Macaca mulatta: one gene and its partners. The protein of the gene in region 1 interacts with the protein of each later gene in a pairwise test. Links are inferred from orthologs where the notes say so. Each region holds a gene or a part of one and is shown in the gene's direction. Other genes may lie near its edges.

Region 1 (3,517 bases):
ATCCCTTGGATCCCTTGAGCCTGGGAGGTGGAGGTTCCAGTGAGCCGAGATCGTACCATTGCACTCCAGCCTGGGCAACAGAGTGAGACCCTGTCTCTCTCTCTCTCTTTCTCTCTCCTTCTCTCTTTTTTTTTTTTTTGTGTGTGTATCTGTATATCTATATACTTTTTTAGAAGAGTTAATGGGAGACCCTAGTTTCTGTGTTTTGATATTATAGAAATGGTGCTGGGCAAAGAGCTTTGGACTGGTCTGCATGAGTGAGACATGACGGGTGAAGCTCTCCTTGGGCATCAGCGGTCCTTTGCCAGCCTGTGGTCCTGAGAGTCATGGCCGGAGCTGAGTGGGGCAGGGTCAGTGCAGGTGCATCTGCGCTGGGAGCTGGGGAAGGGGTGCAGTGTCTCCATAGACACCCTTATATTCCTTCAACCTGCAGGTGGAGAGTGGCCAGCGGCCTGCCTAACTGGCAGGCATGGGAAGGCTAAGGGCTGGGAGCGCCAGTCTGGCCACGGGGCGGGTCTGAGCAGGGAGGAGGAGACTGTGTGGAGTTGGCTTACGTGGCAGCTCCTATCAAGGACATGCAACCCAGTCCTGAGGCCGGGAAGGCTGTGTGGGAGCCAGAGTGAAGCGGGAGTGAGAGGGAGCTGGCTGGAGGAAGGCACTGGCAGCAGGAGAGCTGGCACAAGAGGAAAGGGAGGCAGCGAGGCTGGGAGGACGCTGTGTTAGGGAGTGTGCACTGCAGCTTGAGGGCAGTGGGGTAGGAGAGAGGAGAAGGACAGGTTCCGGTTTGCACGTTAGAAAGAGTGCCTCACTACAGTGTGAGGGCAAAGGAGTGATCATTCAGAAAAAAACAGGAACCGTCTCAGAAAGTAGCCAGCAGAGTGGCCGGAGCTCAGGGGAGTCTGTGGGTTCTAGGGACATTCAGGATGGCAGGACTTGATTATGGACTTCGTGATGAGAAGGTTTGGTGATGTGGGAGGGGTCCCAAGGGAGAGAAGGAAGTCAAGGAGGGCTTGAAGGGTTCTGGATTGAGCTTCCTAAATGAGAATACATCTTTGAAATACGTTCATCGTGGTCCTTCCCAAAGCCAGGGGCTGGGTGCCTCCTGGACAAGAGGCGCCTCTGAGGATTCTCTCTGAGGATTGTCTGCCTCTGTGGGATCAGAGGTTGTGAAACGCCCCCGGCTCACTGTGCTTTTGTGGTCTCTTCCTGACAAAGCACCAAGGAGGAGTGAGCTGAGGGCAGACGCGGGGGGACACCCTCCTCCATTGTGTGGCTATGGGGGTTCCCCTTTGGCATCTCTTTCTCCAGCCCCCAGGGAAACACTCTGAGGGTGCTCAGGGCACAGTGGTGGCCCACTGATCACAGCTGCCCAGGCTGTGGTGGCTGCTGTCTGTAGTGGCCCCAGCTGGACTCCTTGTATCATTACTTGCAGGACCAGGTGGACACGCTGACCTTCCAGAGCCAGTCTCTGCGGGACAGAGCCCGCCGCTTCGAAGAGGCCTTGAGGAGGAACACAGAGGAGCAGCTGGAGGTAGTGTCTGGATTCCAGGCTTCCAGCCCCGCAGGGACCCCGCCCCAGCGAGGCCAGCGGGGCTCCCTCAGCAGTCCAGTCCCGAGACAAGGCCTCTCTGTGAATCCACTGCTGAAGTGACAGCTGGTCACGGCCTCCCCTGGATTTTTAAACAATTGCTGTCAGCACCTCTCCCCTGAGACAGACAGCAGCTGTGGGTTTCTCCAGCGACGTGTTATTTTTGCCAAATTCCGCAGCATTCCCCAGCTGGAGTCCCAGGGCTCCTGTGATAAGCATGGTCTGGAAACCCCCACCCTGGCCCGGCCACCCCTTCCAGCCCGTTCCCCCGGCCCGGCCACCCCTTGCGGCCCGTTCCCCCGGCCCGGCCACCCCTTCCAGCCCGTTCTCCCGCAACTTTTTAGGCTGACGTGGGGCAGCCTTGGCTGCAGCATGCGTTAACAGGTTGAGGGGAATTTTTTCCAGAAAAGCTGGCAAAGTTCCTTCCCTCTAATGTAGGGTTGCCAAATAAAATACAGGACACCCAGTTAAATTTGAATTACAGATAAATTTTTGAGTATAAGTCTGTCCCATGCAATACTTATACTGAATTTTTTAAAATGTCATTTATCTGAATTTGGATTTAACAGGACCTACTGTATTTTAATTTGTTACATCCAGCAGCACTACCCCAACGTGACTTTTGTCTAAAATGGCTTTTCTGCTTCTTAAACCACTTGACTCATTTCCTATGCATGGGCTCTTTACGGGCATAGGTGAGACCTGTAAGAGTCCCAGCTACCTCGTGAATCAAGTCTTCCGGGTGAATGTTAAAAGCCAGTGTTGGGTTTACTCTTTCTACCCCATGAGCTCCCTGCTAGGCATAGGCTGGCAGCACCCAGCAGTTCTGGAGTCAGACTTTCCAGTTCACGATGGCCGTGTCTCACCTGCTCCCCCATAGAACTGGATTTTAGGAGGCTTCTCAGTGGGAAACTTTATCAGGGAAGGCTGTAGCATCCTCTCTCTTTGGTGTCGCAGTTGCCATCAGGGCGCTTGTCCCAGGAGGATGGATTTAGCTGGATTCGTGGTATTGGTTAATACTGGGTTTTGTCGGGAGCCCTGGTCAACAGCTCATGGCTCTCTGCCCCTGTAGATTGCATTGGCTCCTTATCAGCACTTGGAAGAAGACATGAAGAGTCTGAAGCAGGTATTAGAGATGAAGAATCAGCAAATACATGAGCAGGAAAAGAAGATTCTCGAGCTGGAAAAGCTGGTGAGTTGGTCCGTTTGCTCGCGAGAGTAACTAACCTCCATGACATTCCTGCTGTCATCACTGAGGTCATCGTTGACACTGAGGTGTTCAGCCAGGTGTGTCTGTTACCTGCCCATTGCTTACACCTATGCAGAAAATCCCACCGCAGGCCTTTCCCAGGAAGCCAGGAGCTCTCATAAGGAATCTTGGAGGTGGCCTTATCTTGTCCAACTCTGGAGCCTTTCTGATGGGTGGCCTCTTTCTGCTTTGCGCTGGTTTTCCCACAGTCCTGCTGTCTCCTTGCCCTCTCTTGGGGACGTGTGGTGACCCAGCACAATGCAGCATCCCCAGTGCCCAGGCACTGCACGGAGCACTTTCCCCGAGCCTGCTCCTAACTCCTACAGCTGCCTGTGGAGGAGCTGCCGCCCCCAGCCGCTTTACAGATGCGGAGATGGAGCTAGGAGTCCTGGCCCAGTGCTTCGGGTCCTCACAAGGCAGTAGGGGCCAGGGATCTCCCTGGGGCCCTTTTTATAAGGGTATTAATCCCGTTCACAGGGGCTCACCCTCAGGACCTAATCCCCTCCCCACAGCTCTGCCTCCTAATACCATCACTTTGGGGTTAGGTTTCAGCATAGGAATTTTCAGGGACACAAACATTCAGTCCAGAACAGAGTCCTTGCTCTCACCCACACTCGTCCACCTCAGCCCACCAGCCTGGCTCCTGCAGAGCTAGTAAAGGGGAGCACAGAACACCCAGG
Region 2 (3,909 bases), on another chromosome or scaffold:
TCCAGCTGGTGCTGTGTGTGCTGGCCACTACTGACCGAAGGCGCCGCGACCTTGGTGGCTCAGCCCCCCTTGCCATTGGCCTCTCTGTAGCCCTTGGACACCTCCTGGCTGTGAGTCAGGGGCCCACCCAGATGGTGGGGGCGAAGGGAGGGCAGGGGCTGGTGGGGTGCCCTGCCATGGGCAGCCAGTGGAGCTCCCGGCAGGGCTCTTGCCATTGGGTGGAGGACGGCAGGTCAGTGCTGGGGACTGGGGGGCAGGGTCCTGCCCTGGAGAGGAGCAGAGGGACCTCCTGCCCAGCTTGGGGTCAGCACTCCTCTCTTGCTGGGTCTCATTGTCCCCCACCCTGATTGTTCTCTCTCCCTCCACCCTCTCCCTCCTCTCACTCTCTCTTCACCTGTGACTCTCTGCCTTTGCCTCTCCCTGTCTCTTTCCCTCACAGATTGACTACACCGGCTGTGGGATTAACCCTGCTCGGTCCTTCGGCTCCGCGGTGATCACACACAACTTCAGCAACCACTGGGTAGGCGACCCACAGGCTGCCCCTACTGTGCAGGGAGGTAGGGTGGGAGGCTTTGGTGTCCCATGGTAAGCCTGACCCCACTCTCACAGTGTCCCTTCCTGTCCTGGAGGCTCTAGGAGACAGCCAGGGGACAGGAAATCAGGAAACCGAGGCCTGCCATGTAGAGGCAGGGTGGGGTCACACTGTGAGCAGTTTCAGGCCCAGTCTCTGCCCTCCCAGCTCGGCCCTGCCCCATGCTGCCTGGCCTCCAGGTCATCCCAGTTGTGTGGTTGAAAGTGGGGCTCCAAATCCTGGCTCAGCCACTTTCAGGTTCAGCATGACCTTGCACCGTGTGCTTGAGCCTTGGTTTCCTGAGCTTCGGAGGGGCATATGGTGGTACCCACCTCTCAGGGTGGCCAGGAGGAGGAAAGGGCTCACTCCCTATCTGTAAACTGAGCGCAACACAGAGGAGGCGCTCAGTGGATTTTGTCTCTTATGGTTGTGGATGTGGATGTGCTAGGCCAGCTTTGCATTAGGCAATGGTATCTGGGGCCCTTTCAAAGCTGGAAGCGTGGGGGCAGTGGCCTTCCTCAAGAAGGGGCTGCTACTGCCCATGCCTGAGCTGGGCCATGCAGAGGCAAGGAGGTGCCCTTACCACGTACTCTGGCCTGGGCCAGTTTTGAGGGCACTGGAATCAGGATGTTAGGATTTGGTGCTCCTACCTGCCTCCATCGCAGGTGGGAGAAAACCTGTCCAACGGGGTGGTGGGCTGGGAGGTAACCCAGGGAACGATTTCCAGGGGCTTCTGAGTGGAGCCGTCTCAACGTACCTGCTCTGTTCCTAGATTTTCTGGGTGGGGCCATTCATCGGGGGAGCCCTGGCTGTGCTCATCTACGACTTCATCCTGGCCCCACGCAGCAGTGACTTCACAGACCGCGTGAAGGTGTGGACCAGCGGCCAGGTGGAGGAGTATGACCTGGATGCCGACGACATCAACTCCAGGGTGGAGATGAAGCCCAAATAGAAGGGGTCTGGCCTGGGCATCCACGTAGGGGGCAGGGGCAGGGACGGGCGGAGGGAGGGGAGGGGTGAAATCCATATTGTAGACACTCTGACAAGCTGGCCAAAGTCACTTCCCCAAGATCTGCCAGACCTGCATGGTCAAGCCTCATTTGGGGGTGTTTCTATCTCTTTCTTTCTCTTTCTGTTTCCTGGCCTCAGAGCTTCCTGGGGACCAAGATTTACCAATACATCCACTCCCTTGAAGTCGTGGAGGAGGTGAAAGAAAGGGACCCACCTGCTAGTCGCCCCCTCAGAGTGTGATGGGAGGTGTGCCACAAAGTCCCCCCTTGCCCCAAAGTTGCTCGCCGACTCACCTGCGCAGGTGCCTGGGATTCTACTGTAATTGCTTTGTGCCTTTGGGCATGGCCCTCCTTCTTCTCCTAACATGCACCTTGCTCCCAATGGTGCTTGGAGGGGAGAGATCCCAGGAGGTGCAGTGGAGGGGCAAGCTTTGCTCCTTCAGCTCTGCTTGCTCGCAGGCCCCCGACCCGCTCGGACTTATGGCCTGACCTTGGAATTGTCCCTATCTCAGGGCCTCAGCGACCTCCTTCTGCAAAGTGGCAGGGATCGGCAGAGCTCAATGGGCCTGCAACCCCTAAGTGCAGACACAGTATGGGTCCAGAAGATGTGGTCTAGACCAGGGCTGCTCTTTCCACTTGCCCTGTGTTCTTTCCCCAGGGGCATGCCTGTTGCCACACGCCTCTGTGTACGTGTGTGCAGAGCAGACAGGCTACAAAGCAGAGATCGACAGCCAGCCAGGTAGTTGGAACTTTCTGTTCCCCATGGAGAGGCTTCCCTAGACAGAATAAAGCCATTTAGAGGGTGAAGGAGGAATACCCATGTTATTTCTCTGAGTTTCAGTTGGTCTTTCCATCTATCACTGCATTATCTTGCTCATTCTTTCAGTTCTCTACTCCCTGTCATCAGTGTAGACACAGGTCACCATTATGCTGGCGTATGTTTATCAAAGAGCACTTGAGCTATCTGAAGCCCAAAGCCTGAGAACAGAAAGACCCTGATGCAGGTCAGCCCATGGAGGCAGATGACCTTGCTGGGCCTGGGGGTTTTCCAAGCCCTCAGCTGGTCCTGAGCAGGATGGAGCAAGCTCTTCTCTTGTTCATGAGCTCCTGGTTGGAGGCATTTGAGCAGGTGAGTAACCTGCACAGGCTTGCCGTGTGACCCCTGGCCACAGCCTTCCCTCCGCATTGACCTGGAGGGGAGAGGTCAGCCTTGACGTGATGAGGTTGCTATAGTTGCAGCCCAAGGACAGTTCAGAGATCAGAATCAGCTTTGAAGGCTGAATTCTTCCACTCATCTATCTACATAAGTCCATTCATTTCCACCAGGGCCAGAGCAGCTCCACCACTGTGCACTTAGCCATGATGGCAACAGAAACCAAGAGACACAATTACACAGGTATTTAGAAGCAGAGGGACAACCAGGAGGCCCTTAGCTATCACCAGCGCATCACGACTGCACACTGTCTTCTCCATTCCCTAGCAGGAACTTCTAGCTCATTTAACAGATAAACTGAGGCCCACGGTTTCAGCTAAACAATGATTTGGCCAGGCCTAGTAACCAAGGCCCTGTCTCTGGCTACTCCCTGGACCACAAGGCTGATTCCTCTCATTTCCAGCTTCTCAGTTTCTGCCTGGGCAATGGCCAGGGGCCAGGAGTGGGGAGGGTTTGATGGAGGGGAGAGGGGGCACACCCACCCCCTGCTTGGTTCTAGGCTGCTGCACACCAGGGCCCTGCATCTGTCTGCTCTGCATATATGTCTCTTTGGAGTTGGAATTTCATTATATGTTAAGCAAATAAAGGAAAATGACTTGTAAGGTCCTTCGGGCTTCCTGTAGTTTTTCTTCTTTTGATGCCATGTCCCCACAAATGTTTCTGGATGACTCCACAAGGAAATCAGTCCACTGCTAGAGACCTAGTCTGAGGAGGAGCCACTGCCTCCTCTTCTGCCTTCAAGACCACCAATCTCAGGCGATGGATACAGCCACACCCCCAAAACCCTATCTGAGGGATACAGGGTCCTGCCCCTAGCCGGAGACTTCCAGAGCCCAGTGGGATGACTTTGGAGACCTGGGGTCAGGGAAAAGGGGCAGGCTTCTGATCAGTTTAAATGGAGCGATGGGAGCCATTTCTGATTCCGGAGTATGGACGTGATGGGGGAAAGCAGGCCTGAAGTCTAACAGCCCCCTCATCCCCTCTACCCTCCACAGAGCAGGGCCCAGGGAACACTAGGGATTGTTCCACCTTCCTCCCTCCCTCCACTCACATTTGCAACCCATCTGACCGGGGCTGGGCATCTCAGGGGAGACAGACTCACTCATCAGAGCCCA
Region 3 (3,950 bases), on another chromosome or scaffold:
GACAGTTGAGGGAGAAGATTCCACAGGGTTCAAGCTGGCCAGGTTCTACCATTCCTGGCCCGGCGCCTGACCTCTGAGCAGTGAGGGTCAGTGAGGTATCTGGGAGGACTGGCATTTCGCGGGCTTTATTGGCATCTTATTCGACTAAGGCTACCCATTTCTTTTCCTTCCTGCACCAGTAGCCCTGATTTTAACATGTAAAGGTCCAACTGCTGGGCTCCCCGTGCCTGCCCAGCTCACAGGGAGATTTGAACCCCTCAGGATGCTGCTCTCCTGCCTGCCTCTCTCGCCTCCCATCCGGACATTATTTTAATGTAAAGGCATGGCTGAGGCACAGAAATCCCCTTGAAATGTATCATTTCGGTCCTCATTGACTCCCATTGTGTGCCTTAATGGTGGGCCCAGTGGGTGGGGGCTGGGAGGGGTGGAGCAGGTGCATGGGGCAGGGGTGCCCAGCACCTGTTCCAGTCGCAGCTGCTGGCGCACTGCGTGGCAGGCCCCTTTAATCCGGGGGTATCGCATGTACAGTGCCCCCCTCGGCGCCCTTTGTCCCCACCGGCCTGGTGCCGATTTCACACTTGCCAGGAGTACCATGAAGGCGTCTGGGGGGCGAGGGATCTGAGGAGTGGGGGTCAGTGCCTCCTGCATATGCGTGCAGCCCCCGCCCCCAGCCCATCATGTCCTAGAATGTCTCCTTCCCCTTTTGTTCGGGTTTGTGTCTCATCACACTTAGAGCACTTACTGTGCAGGAGGTAGTGCTCGGGACTTCACCAACAGCCCTGGGAAGGGAAGGGGGGTGCCATCGTAACTCCAGTCTTACAAATGGACTCCAGCCCCTTTTCCAGATCTCTAGAGTCAGCCCTTAGTTCACAAGGGTGAACTTACCCTTCTCATTCACATGAAGACTTAGAATGCAATCAGCAAACGCTTCAGGCCTGGCGTGGGGAGGCTGCTGAGTAATGGCAGAGTGGAGTAGTGCTCAGGCACCCCTCCCCCAGTCCTCTGTGTCCCCCACCCTTTGGAGTGTCGAGTTTCCATTTCTGCCCCATGAGAGTGAGTCCAGCTCTCAGGTGCTCCATAAGTCCCTATGGAATGCATGGGTCCCATTGGAATCATTCTCTGGACTCTCTCCTACCCTGGTAGCTCAGTGTAGCACCCTAGGCACCCAGGAGGTGATGGAATGAATTCACTCTCAGCTCTTAAATTCCATCCAGCGCTGGGATTTCACAGACAGGCCCTGGCCTCGCGGGCATGTCAGGCTGGGCGTGAGGGGATTGGAGAATTGCATATTTTTTAAAGAGACTATTCAGTATTATAGAGTAGTGTCTAGCACATAGTAGGAGATCAATAGATTTAAAAAAAAAATTATAGACAGGGTCTGGCTTTATTGCCTAGGCTTGTCTCAAACTCCTGGCTTCAAGCAGTCCTCCTGCCTCACTCGGCCTCCCAGAGTGATGGGATTACTGGCGTGAGCCACCACACCCGGCTTCAATAGATTTTTGTTTAATGAGTTATTGTTATGACCTTTTATGTGGAAAATGCTGCATCCCCCAGAAAAAAACAAACAGCATTATTGGTGTTTTTGGAACTGTAGCCTTTTGGTTGGAGCAGGGATTATTACAAGGCATGAGTGAGGGGCAGACTCCTCTGAGGCCTTTTTAATTTTTAAAGCAGACTTAATTATTCTCTAAGGGCTTATTGAGGACTTACTGGGTACCCAGCTCCATATGCAAGACTTTTTCCGACACAGCCTTGGCCAGGCAGATGGTGTGTCAGAGGCACAGGTTTCTATAGCCTCTTCGGTGTTAGAAAGGGGCCCAGGCCCTGGGCTGGGGCTTAGAATGGACTCAAAGAAGGCCCCTGCCCTTATGGGACTCAGCCTGATTGGAGAACAGACAAGGAGATTTGGGATTACAGCACCAGAGGTGGGGTAGTGAGGAAAGCAGGCTGCTGGCCCAGCCCCAGGAGTGGCCTAACCAGCTTGGAGGTGGGGGTGGGGAGGCCTCTTAAGGCTGACTCTGGCTTTGGCCCCGATAAGTGACAGTAGGACGAATCAGTAAAGATGTTCGGTCGTCGTTGACCACTTCGCACATCTCTGCGGGATGTGGATGAGTACTGTGCCCTACCTTCTGTCACTTACCAACCCCTATGAGTGGGGGATGGATAGCCCGATTTTACAGGTGGAAAAATGGAGGCTCAGAGAAGCCAGACAACTTGCCCAGAGTTGCACAGTGGGAAGCAGCAGAGCTCCGTCAGGTCCCAGCCTTTGGACTCTGGCTGCGTGTTTGAGTCCTGACTTTCCTGGGATCGTGGGATTCTTTCGGGGTTTAGGGTATGCGGGGAGGGATTCCCATCACTGCCAGCTGTTGTCCCACGGCTCATTCGGCCTTTCTGGCATTCTCTCCCCAGGCGAGAAGCCCTTCTCCTGTCCCCACTGCAGTCGCGCCTTCGCTGACCGCTCCAACCTGCGGGCCCACCTCCAGACCCACTCGGATGTCAAGAAGTACCAATGCCAGGCGTGTGCTCGGACCTTCTCCCGAATGTCCCTGCTCCACAAGCACCAAGAGTCTGGCTGCTCAGGATGTCCCCGCTGACCCTTGAGGCTCCCTCTTCCTCTCCATACCTGCCCCCTGCCCGACAGCCTTCCCCCAATCCAGCAGGAAGGACCGACCCCACGTCCTTCTCACTGCCATGGAATTCCCTTCTGAGTGCCCCACTTCTGGCTGCATCAGCCCCACAGGACCTTGAAGACCATTTTCTGGTTCTGTTTCCTCTGCCTGGGTCCCTCAGTGGGCTCTGGAGGAGGCCTTCCCGTGGCCTTTTCTGTGGAGGGAGGGCAGCTGGCAGTCCCAGCCCCCAGGGGATTCCTGAGCTGGCCTTTCTGCATGGGTTTTTGTATCCAGAGCTGTTTGGATACAGCTGCTTTGAGCTACGGGACAAAGGCCGACAGACTCACTGGGAAGCTCCCACCCCACTCAGGGGACCCCACTCCCCTCACACACACCCCCCTACAAGGAACCCTCAGGCCACCCTCCACGAGGTGTGACTAACTATGCAATAATCCACCCCCAGGTGCAGCCCCGGGCCCTGCGGAGGCGGTGGCAGACTAGAGTCTGAGATGCCCCAAGCCCGGGCAGCTATTTCAGCCTCCTGTTTGGTGGGGTGGCACCTGTTTCCCGGGCAATTTAACAGTGTCTCAAAAGGGACTGTGAGTAATGGCTGTCACTTGTCGGGGGCCCAAGTGGGGTGCTCTGGTCTGACCGATGTGTCTCCCAGAACTATTTTGGGGGCCTGACAGGTGGGCCTGGGAGGAAGATGTTTACATTTTTAAAGGTACACTGGTATTTATATTTCAAACATTTTGTATCAAGGAAACGTTTTGTATAGTTATATGTACAGTTTATTGATATTCAATAAAGCAGTTAATTTATATATTGAAAAGAGTCTGGTGTAATAGAGGAGTGGGTATTTTAAAAGGTCTTTGGTAGGGGAGGAGGAGACAGGAATTCCTGAAGCTTAGATATTTCTGACACAGCCTTAAATCTTGTCCTTGGAAACGTCACAGGGCTTTGGAGTCCTGGGTGTTCTGTCTGCTGGTGTTTGGGTGAGCCAGCAGCATCCATATGAGCTCTTCACTATACACTGTGGCTCTTGTTTACTTTCTCATTCTTGAATTTTGAAACCGATTTGGCGCATGGGGTACAGAGCTGGCTTCCTGGGTCTTATCAACTAGGCAGGCTGCAAAGCTGCCCCAGCACTGCAGGTCTTTTGGGGCCGCTTCCCCCACATGCGAGTGGAATGCGACCAAGGAGACAGAGGATGTCCTTCCTGTTTCCAAGGGCTCCCGGCCCCCTCGGGCCTCCTTGTCAGTCCCACACCTCCGTCTTGCTGCTGGGTACCAAATGGCCTTTGATGCAAGGAAATTGGCTGGCTGGAGCCAGGAGGGTGAG

Evidence for each region. The genes of interacting proteins can lie anywhere in the genome.
Region 2: the proteins of MTUS2 (region 1) and AQP1 interact in binary tests that used the Homo sapiens proteins (3 or more experiments, as listed by UniProt). The two-hybrid records come from large-scale screens. The link is inferred for Macaca mulatta from reciprocal best matches to the Homo sapiens genes MTUS2 and AQP1.
Region 3: the proteins of MTUS2 (region 1) and SNAI1 interact in binary tests that used the Homo sapiens proteins (3 or more experiments, as listed by UniProt). The two-hybrid records come from large-scale screens. The link is inferred for Macaca mulatta from reciprocal best matches to the Homo sapiens genes MTUS2 and SNAI1.

The regions. Positions count from the first base shown.
Region 1 is NC_133422.1:9,392,795-9,396,311, forward strand, and holds part of MTUS2 (microtubule-associated tumor suppressor candidate 2), read left to right. Parts: intron 1-1,432; coding exon 1,433-1,531; intron 1,532-2,660; coding exon 2,661-2,780; intron 2,781-3,517. UniProt on the Homo sapiens protein: Binds microtubules. Together with MAPRE1 may target the microtubule depolymerase KIF2C to the plus-end of microtubules. May regulate the dynamics of microtubules at their growing distal tip.
Region 2 is NC_133408.1:97,453,254-97,457,162, reverse strand, and holds the end of AQP1 (aquaporin-1), read left to right. Parts: coding exon 1-110; intron 111-439; coding exon 440-520; intron 521-1,343; coding exon 1,344-1,523; 3' UTR 1,524-3,400; downstream 3,401-3,909. UniProt on the Homo sapiens protein: Forms a water channel that facilitates the transport of water across cell membranes, playing a crucial role in water homeostasis in various tissues.
Region 3 is NC_133415.1:102,827,293-102,831,242, forward strand, and holds the end of SNAI1 (zinc finger protein SNAI1), read left to right. Parts: intron 1-2,409; coding exon 2,410-2,594; 3' UTR 2,595-3,441; downstream 3,442-3,950. UniProt on the Homo sapiens protein: Involved in induction of the epithelial to mesenchymal transition (EMT), formation and maintenance of embryonic mesoderm, growth arrest, survival and cell migration.